Linked DNA regions of Alligator mississippiensis. The main gene of each other region encodes a partner of the protein of the gene in region 2 in a complex. Links are inferred from orthologs where the notes say so. Each region holds a gene or a part of one and is shown on either strand. Other genes may lie near its edges.

Evidence for each region. The genes of interacting proteins can lie anywhere in the genome.
Region 1: the proteins of GNAT1 (region 2) and UNC119 are in contact, whole or in part, in a crystal structure (PDB 3RBQ), measured with the Homo sapiens proteins. The link is inferred for Alligator mississippiensis from reciprocal best matches to the Homo sapiens genes GNAT1 and UNC119. Residues at the interface, in NP_000163.2 of Homo sapiens: Gly2, Ala3, Gly4, Ala5, Ser6, Ala7, Glu8; in NP_005139.1 of Homo sapiens: Asp87, Phe88, Val89, Arg90, Phe91, Ile105, Lys106, Lys107, Gly126, Arg127, Phe128, Val129, Tyr131, Phe137, Val147, Glu163, Leu172, Ser218, Tyr220, Asn230.

Annotation. Positions count from the first base shown.
Region 1 is NC_081837.1:1,020,726-1,024,466, forward strand, and holds the start of UNC119 (protein unc-119 homolog A), read right to left. Parts: upstream 2,941-3,741; 5' UTR 2,883-2,940; coding exon 2,696-2,882; intron 1-2,695. Other genes in the region: PIGS (GPI transamidase component PIG-S), read right to left, coding at 3,115-3,390. UniProt on the Homo sapiens protein: Involved in synaptic functions in photoreceptor cells, the signal transduction in immune cells as a Src family kinase activator, endosome recycling, the uptake of bacteria and endocytosis, protein trafficking in sensory neurons and as lipid-binding chaperone with specificity for a diverse subset of myristoylated proteins.
Region 2 is NC_081835.1:43,092,222-43,095,962, reverse strand, and holds the start of GNAT1 (guanine nucleotide-binding protein G(t) subunit alpha-1), read right to left. Parts: upstream 2,986-3,741; 5' UTR 2,770-2,985; coding exon 2,664-2,769; intron 1-2,663. UniProt on the Homo sapiens protein: Functions as a signal transducer for the rod photoreceptor RHO. Required for normal RHO-mediated light perception by the retina.

The DNA.
Region 1 (3,741 bases), on a different chromosome or scaffold from region 2:
GGCGATTAGGAGATTATCCGCTTGGAAGTTCTTGGGCGATGACCAGAAATAGCACGGATGTGCATCCGAGGGGCAGGCGGGTGGCGCACGGCAAAGGGCTTCCTGCCGCTCCAGCCCACAGCATGGCTCGTGGGGCCGGGCCAGCCCTGGGCAGCCCAGCATCGCTGCCTCGACCCCGACGGCATGGACTGTGGGTGGATGAGGGCTTGTAACAGGGCACCGTCCAACGCCGCTCACTGGGGCCTCACCCACCCTTGGGGTTAGTCTGGTCATGACCAAGTGCAGGGCTGGGCTTCCCTTGCCACACCTGGGGGCTGCCCAGTTGCAGGTGCCCGGGACCCTCGCAGATCAGCTTTAGTAGGTCAGGCAAAGACTTCTTCTAAGTCAGCAAGACCCCATCCCCTACACACCCATCGGCTCCACACCCGGCATGGCCAGGGAAGCCCACAGCCCAGGTCAGGACAGGTGCGGGGGGGATGCCTGGGTGCCAGCAATGTGGGCAGCGCACTGCCCCTGTCAGGCCTCAGTCAGGAGAGCCAGCAAGAGGCTGGCTACCTGCTCAGAAAGGGCTGTGAGGAGGCAGGCAGACAGACAGACGTCTCTGCCCTCCTGCTGGGCTGCTAACTCATCACAATCTGCCCCCAGCCCTGGTAATCCCCAGTTAATCAAGTGGTAAGGTTTTCCTCTCTTGGGCAGCAAGCGAAAGGGCCCAGCTACCAGCCAAGACAAGGCTGCAGCTGCCTTCTGCAGCACCCAGGCCAAAGCTGAGCCCGCCAGGCAGCCCCAGAACACGGGCATTGCCCCAGACGTGCCCCCTGGCACAGAGCAGGCAGCCACGGAGAGCTTCACGCTGAGAGGACACCGACAGCCAGGATAACTGCCATCATAAGCATATTAGGGGCACGCTAAGCAGAGCCCAGCTGGCTTCCCCGCCTCCTCGCTTGCGCTTGTGACCGGACGAGCTTCCATGCACTGGAAGCAAGTGCCCCTGTGCCACGTGGTTCACAGCTCCCAGGAGCCGGGCACTTGTGGGCTGTGCCAGCGACCCCCGTGGAAGAGGCAGCTTCTTCCACCTGCTTGGCTGATCTCCAGGGCAGCCAGTGCCCAGCACGCTGTGGGGAGCAGTGGCCAAGCAGCTGCTTCTCTTATGGAGGCTGCCTGCCCGCAGCTCTCCAGCCCCCACCCCAATCCTTGCACCCAGTCAAGGCCCCTGGGAACCAGGTCTCTCCACCCTGGTCTGACACCCAGGTCTCTCCACCCTGGTGCCCGGCAAACGCGCGGACAGGCCTGGCTAGTGGAGGAGTCAGCCCCACAGAGTAGCAAACACCCGCGGAGCACCGTGAACCCACCGCAGGCTCTGGTAATGGCGTGGTCCTTCACGGACGGCAAGGCTTCACTCGCCTCAGCGGAAAGGAGTCATGGGCGAGCCGGGGCAAGTGGCGCAGCTACCACCAATGGTCTGACCTGGGTGCCACCTTCCTCAGCCCGGCTGCAGGGTTTAAGCCAACAGCTAATGCTGAGCAGGCCCCTGTGCAAGGCAAAGTACCTTGCCCCGCGGGGCCTGCCGTGGGCTTCTCTTGGTGCTGGACAGGATGAGAAGAGCCCGGCTCAATCCAGCCTGGGGCAGCCTGTGCCCCGGGCACTGCCCATCCTGCAAGGCTCTCCACCTCCACTACGCCAGAGACAGAGCAGCTGGGGCAGCCCCAGGCAGAGCGAACGTTCAGACCGATGCGTGCCCGACGGTGGCTCTTTGCAGGTGCTATGGAGTGCTTTCCCCGCAAGCACCAAGCATGCAACCAACCAAGCAGCACCCGCGCGCTGTCCCCAGCAGCTGTGGTGCAAGGCTGGCTGCCACCGGACTATGCAAACACGGGCTAACGAGGCACGGAGCGTGCTGCCTGCGGTTCGCTATGCCAGCCGGGCGCCTCGACCAGCACCAACTGCTCCTGAGCAGGCCTGGACCGAGCCTCGCTGCTCGAAGCACCACGGCCCAGAGGACGGGCAGGCCCGGGGGCACTCAGCTGCGATCCCACGCTATCGGAGGCCACGTGGGTCTCGCTGCAAAGCCGGTGCGGGCACCCCACCGGCTACGGCGCCTTCTGCAGGACCGGGCAGGGCTGCGAGCTGTCCTCTGCAGCAGTGCTCCTCCTCCACATCCCCGGGCCTGTCCAGGGAGCACGCCCGGCTCCGAGCGTTTGCCGAGCCGAGGCCCACGGCCCAGCTCTCCCAGCGCAGCTGCGAGGATGCTAGACGAGGCCCGGAGCAGAGCAGCAGGGCCCGCGCAGACGTCCCCCGACCAGAAGCACCGTGCCGGGGGGGGGGCCCAAAAGGCCTAGTTCAGTGCCTGTTGCCACCGCCGGGTCACAGCCCACGCGAGACCCTGCACCCTGGGGGCGGCCACGCGCCCCTCGCCAGCGCGTCCTGCCGCCGGGGCACGGGGCAAACCCCCGGCGCAGGAGCCTGGGCGCCGCGCCCGCCGCCCCTGCCCCCGGGGCCTGCCGACGGGCGGCTCCCGCGGTCCCGGGCGGAGGCCGGGCCCCGGGCACGAGGCCTGCTCGGCGGCCCCACGGGAGCGGCTCGGCCGGGCGGCTCCCTGCCCCGCAGCGGAACAAAGCCGCGCGCCCGCAGGAAGGCGCCTCCCCGCGCCCCGGCCCGCCTCTGGGGCGGCGGGCACCGCGGAGCATGCCGCGCTCACCCGTGGTGACCTTCTGCAGCCCCAGCACGTCCTCGGGGCCGATGAGCGCCTTGCGCAGCAGCTCGTCCTCGGTGCAGGCGGGCGCCGCCGCCCCGGCCCCGCTGCTCCGCTTCACCTTCATGGCCCCGGCCCCGCCGCCCCGCTCCCTGCCGCAGCCCGTGTCGGCGCGGAGGGCGGGCTCGCTCATCCCCCGCGCGCACTAAGCGCCTTTGCCCGCAAATCCCCCGCGCCCCGGCTCCGGCCGCCGCCGCCGCTCCCTCGCGGCCCGGCTCCGCCCGCCCGGGAGGAGCCTCCGCGCCCGCCCGCCCGCAGCAAGGACACGCACGGCCCCGTCCGGCTTCAACTTGTATTGGTGGGAGGCGCAGGGCCCGCCCGCGAGCCCCGCCGCCAGCACCCGCCCCCGGCCCCCCTGTTGCGCCTCAGTCCGTCTTGGTGGGCTCCTTCTTGCCCCGCCTGGCCTCCCGCAGGATCTTGGCCAAGGAGAGCAGGAGCGGCACGGCCATGGGCAGGAAGAGCGGGATGTAGATGGCGAACTTCTGGTCGTCGGGGAAGTACAGCAGATGCAGCAGCGAGGGGTCGAAGAAGGCCCGCTCCGAGGAGGTGACCGCCTCCTTGCTGGCCTGGAAGGCAGCGCCCAGGCGCCCCGCGGCCAGCTCCTCCAGCGCCTGCTGGACGGAGGCCACGGCACGGTACACCTGCGTGGGAGCACACCCTCAGTGCCCCGGTCCCCACCGTGCCTCGGCCCTCTCCCAGCTCCCCGGGGCCCCGGCCCAGAGCGAGCTGGCACCCCCACGGCTCCCAGCCCCCACGAGCCCAGGGGTACGGGGCAGGCACAGCGAGCACCTCTGCCAGGAACATGCTTGCTTTTAAAACCGATGCCAGCAGGGACTGGGGGCTGAGCAGGGGGTCTCCCGTCCCCACTGAAACCACCTAGGGATTCAGGGCGAGGGGGCAGGGGGAATAGGATGCTACAGAGGCACGCAGCCGCAGGACAGGGGCGTCTGTCACTCCAGCTGGACCCAACACCTGTGCCTGCTCCAGCCCTC
Region 2 (3,741 bases):
ATAGAGGAAGTGTCGGGGGAGGAACAGGGCATGGGAGGGTGAGGCAGCCCCCCCCCTCCCCCTGCCTTAGTCAGTGCCTGGGACTCATGCCCCTTTTGCCCACCCATCTTTACACTTCTGTCTTAAATGGTCACCCTGCCCTGAGGCAGGATTGAGTGTACCTGGCCCATCCATCCAGGATAGATTTTGCAGGACCTGTTTCTAAACCTCCAACAAAGTAGATTCCACCCCTCCATGGGAATCTGTGCCTGTGATTCACTACCCTTAGAGCTAAGCAACTTTCTCCTAAGAGTCAATCTAAATCTTCTTTGCTGCGGAGTAAGCTGATTTCTTCTTGTCCTTCCTCTACCAGACAAGGAGAGCAATTGATCACCATCCTCCTTATGTCAACATAGGGATGGGGCTGTTGTTATGTCTTCTCTTTTGTAGATCAACCAAGGCCAGTCCCTTCAATCTAGTCTCACAGGTCATGGCTTCCAAAATTTACATCACTCTTGTTGTTTTCCATTTTTCTTACAGCCCCAAACTGGACATAGCACACCTGCTGGTCCTCACCAACATTGAATAAGAACAACTATTTCTTGTGTCCTAAGTATAGTTCTTCTGTTAACATATCTCAGACTGGGATTTACCTTTTAAACAATATATTTAATTATTGACTTTGTTTAGTTTGTAGCCTGCTAGAAACCCCCAGATTCATTTTTCCTATACGCTACTATTCCCTGCCCTTCTAGGGAATACTTATTTCCTATTTGTGCATTTGATTTCTCCATCCTAAGCATCATATTTTGCATTTGTCTTTATTAATTCTCATCTTGCTGATTTCAGATTATCTTTCCAATCTTCTGAAGTCAGTTTGAATTCTAATCCTACCCTCCCCACCATGCAAGCCCTTCCAGCTCAATATTGTCAACAATTTTTAAGCCAACCCTATATTTCATCCTCCAAATAGTTATTGAATAGAACCAGGCCTAGGACAGGTGCCTAGAGTAACCTGTCTATGTTGCCTTCCCAGTTTGACAATAAACCACTGGAAACTAGTCTTTGAGGTAAGTTTTTTATCAACTGTATGTTCATCTAACAGTGACTCATGCAGAAGTTGTTACATGAGAAAGTCATGTAGGACAGAGCTGAAGGCCTTACAGAAGTCAAGCTGCATCTCATTCATTGCTTTCCCCTTGTTCACTAGGCCAGCTGTCCGATCAGACAAGGCAAGTTGTTCTTGACAAACCCTTGTCAGCTCTTTCTACCACCTTGCTACCCACTAGCTCTGCACCAGTTGACTGTTTAATAATTTGCTTGGGGACTGAAAACCCTCAGTTCAGTTCCTGGTCCATCAGCCAAGATGGGGACAGCTGCTCAGTTATCCTGCCCCTGCCCTCCTTATTGGTGTCGTGCTCAGGGCTTGTCTTGAGCACAAACCTGGCAGTGAACAGGGGCAAGAAGCAATGTACAGTATTAATCAGCTTCCCTGCAGATGCTGTTTTTCATGGCACTGGAGGTAGCAAGCCAGGATTATAGAGGCCCCAGTGTCTTTTCTTAGCTGGCATTAAGGTAAGATGGATGATCAGTGTCTATCCTTGGGGCATGGATAATGAGATCTGACATTTTCCTCCAGGCTTTGCAGACCAGGCCTGCAGAAAAAGAGGTGCTAACACCCCGCCTTTGTGGGGCAGGGCATGGAAAGAAAGGAGCTTTGCAACCTGTTCCCAACATTGCGAAAGCTTGAGAGAGGGCAACATAGCAATCACAGCAATCCAGCATCTCCTCTAAGCTTCAGTGCCCACAGCTCCTGGGGCATGCACACTGTAAATGATTTGCTCTGACAAACTCAGGGACAAAGCCCTGGAGTTCTAGTGCTTTGTTCCCAGCTCAGGCAAGTCAGTCAGACTCCCAGTGATGCCAAGACATTATCTCAAAATGCCCTGGCAAGGCTACAGGGTGAAGTATTAGCAATAGCAAGTCCAGGTTCCAGCTCTGCAGAAATTTGCAAAACTGCCATGAAATTACAAAGGTGGGTGCTATGGGAGCCAAGGGAACCACATAGACTCACATCACATGCTGATCTGCCCCACTATGGTCAGTGGAATAGTGTTGCTTACACCAGCTGGGGACCAAGCTGACGTATAAGCAAACAGCCCCTTCTCTGTGCTGGATCAGGGTTTCCTGGGGCCATTTGCATTGCAGCACACATGGAGAGGCAGAGCTGTACATGCTGTCTCTCGCTGATCAGGACTCTGGCTTTCACCAGCTCTGGATCTGGAGAGGAGTGAGCTCCCAGACCCACTGGGCTGGGATCTCAGGGAAGGGGTGCTGAGCGCAAAGGCCTGTGGGTGCTTAATACCTTAGTAAAATGCTGCCAGCTCTTCTTTCCTCCTGGCACTGCCCTAAGCTGGGCCATCAAGCCAATATAAGGGTCCCTCCATCAAGCATTCCCACCACGATGACAAACCATATCCAACAACCTGGGTAGGATCAGCATCACAGTCTCACTGCCTGGATGCTGGCTCAGAACCTGGGTATTGGCTGGCTTCGGATTGAGGGCTTCTGATGGATAGCTCTGGGCCAAGGGGCGGGGGCAGGTTTGAGGGGTTTGGTGCAGGATCTGGGGTGTTGGCTGAGATCAGGGAAAAGCAGGGCTCAGCCTCTAACCAAGCACATACCCAGTAGGAGCAGCTTGACTGTCCTGGCATCTTTCTCGGCATCTTCCTTGAGCTTCTTCTCTAGCTCCCGCGAGTGCTTCTCTTCTGCGCTGGCCCCAGCTCCCATCTGGTCTTCAGTATACTCCTCTTCTTGATCCAGCCACTCAGCAGCAGTAGTGTAAGCCCAGGGGGTATCCAGAGCTCTTGTCCTGTCTCCTCTGGAACCCACTACTAACTCTGGAAGGCCTCCGCTTGCTCCCTCCTGCTCCGTCGTGAACCCCAGAGAAGAATGACACTCCTCCCAATGCACAGTGCCAGCCAGTCTCCCACAAAGGAGGATTTCGAAGCCCATGGAAGTCATGTGTTCCCTGCTGCCCAATCTGTGGCAAGGACAGGTGGACAAGGAGCAGGTAAGGCCCAGGCTCCCCTCCCTCTGTTTCACTCTGATCAGACTTGCTGCGCTCAGCGACATGAGCAGCCCCATGAGCTGATGCCTTAAACCCATCTCTGAGATAAATCCCCTCAAATCCCCCTACCTGCTGAGTGCAACAATTTCCAGCCTCCATCTGCTCCCATCCAGGGATGCATCATCAACGTGTAAAAGCAGGGACTTCCTCACAGCCTGGCCCACCATCCATGCCCCAAGCTTCCTGTGAGGGGAGGTGGCCTGGGGCTGGTGCCAGAAGAGCTGAGCCCTGAGCCTACATCTCATTCTATGACCTTGGGTGAGTCACCGGAAGTCAGAATCAGTTTCTGCTGGTAATATAGGGGACTCCGTGTTAGGCACCTGACCCAAAGTCTCTGCATGTACAATGTCTTGCATCAACAAAGGCAATGTATCCCACTGTGAGCATACACAGGAACCAAGGCTTCCCAGCTTAAGGGGCTTCAGGGTACATCCAGGCTGGCCACTTTGGCATGGACAGAATCAGTGCAGGGTGCTCTTTCTTGCCTTGCAGGCCAAAGCTCCCTGGCACAGAGTTTCCTGGGGGGCAAAGGGGAGAGAGAGGGAGTGCAGTGAACTCTGAAGTCTCCTTGAACTCGCTGGGGCTTAGGGAATGGGGCAAAGCCCCAGGGAAACCTCCTTGCCCCTGTCTGC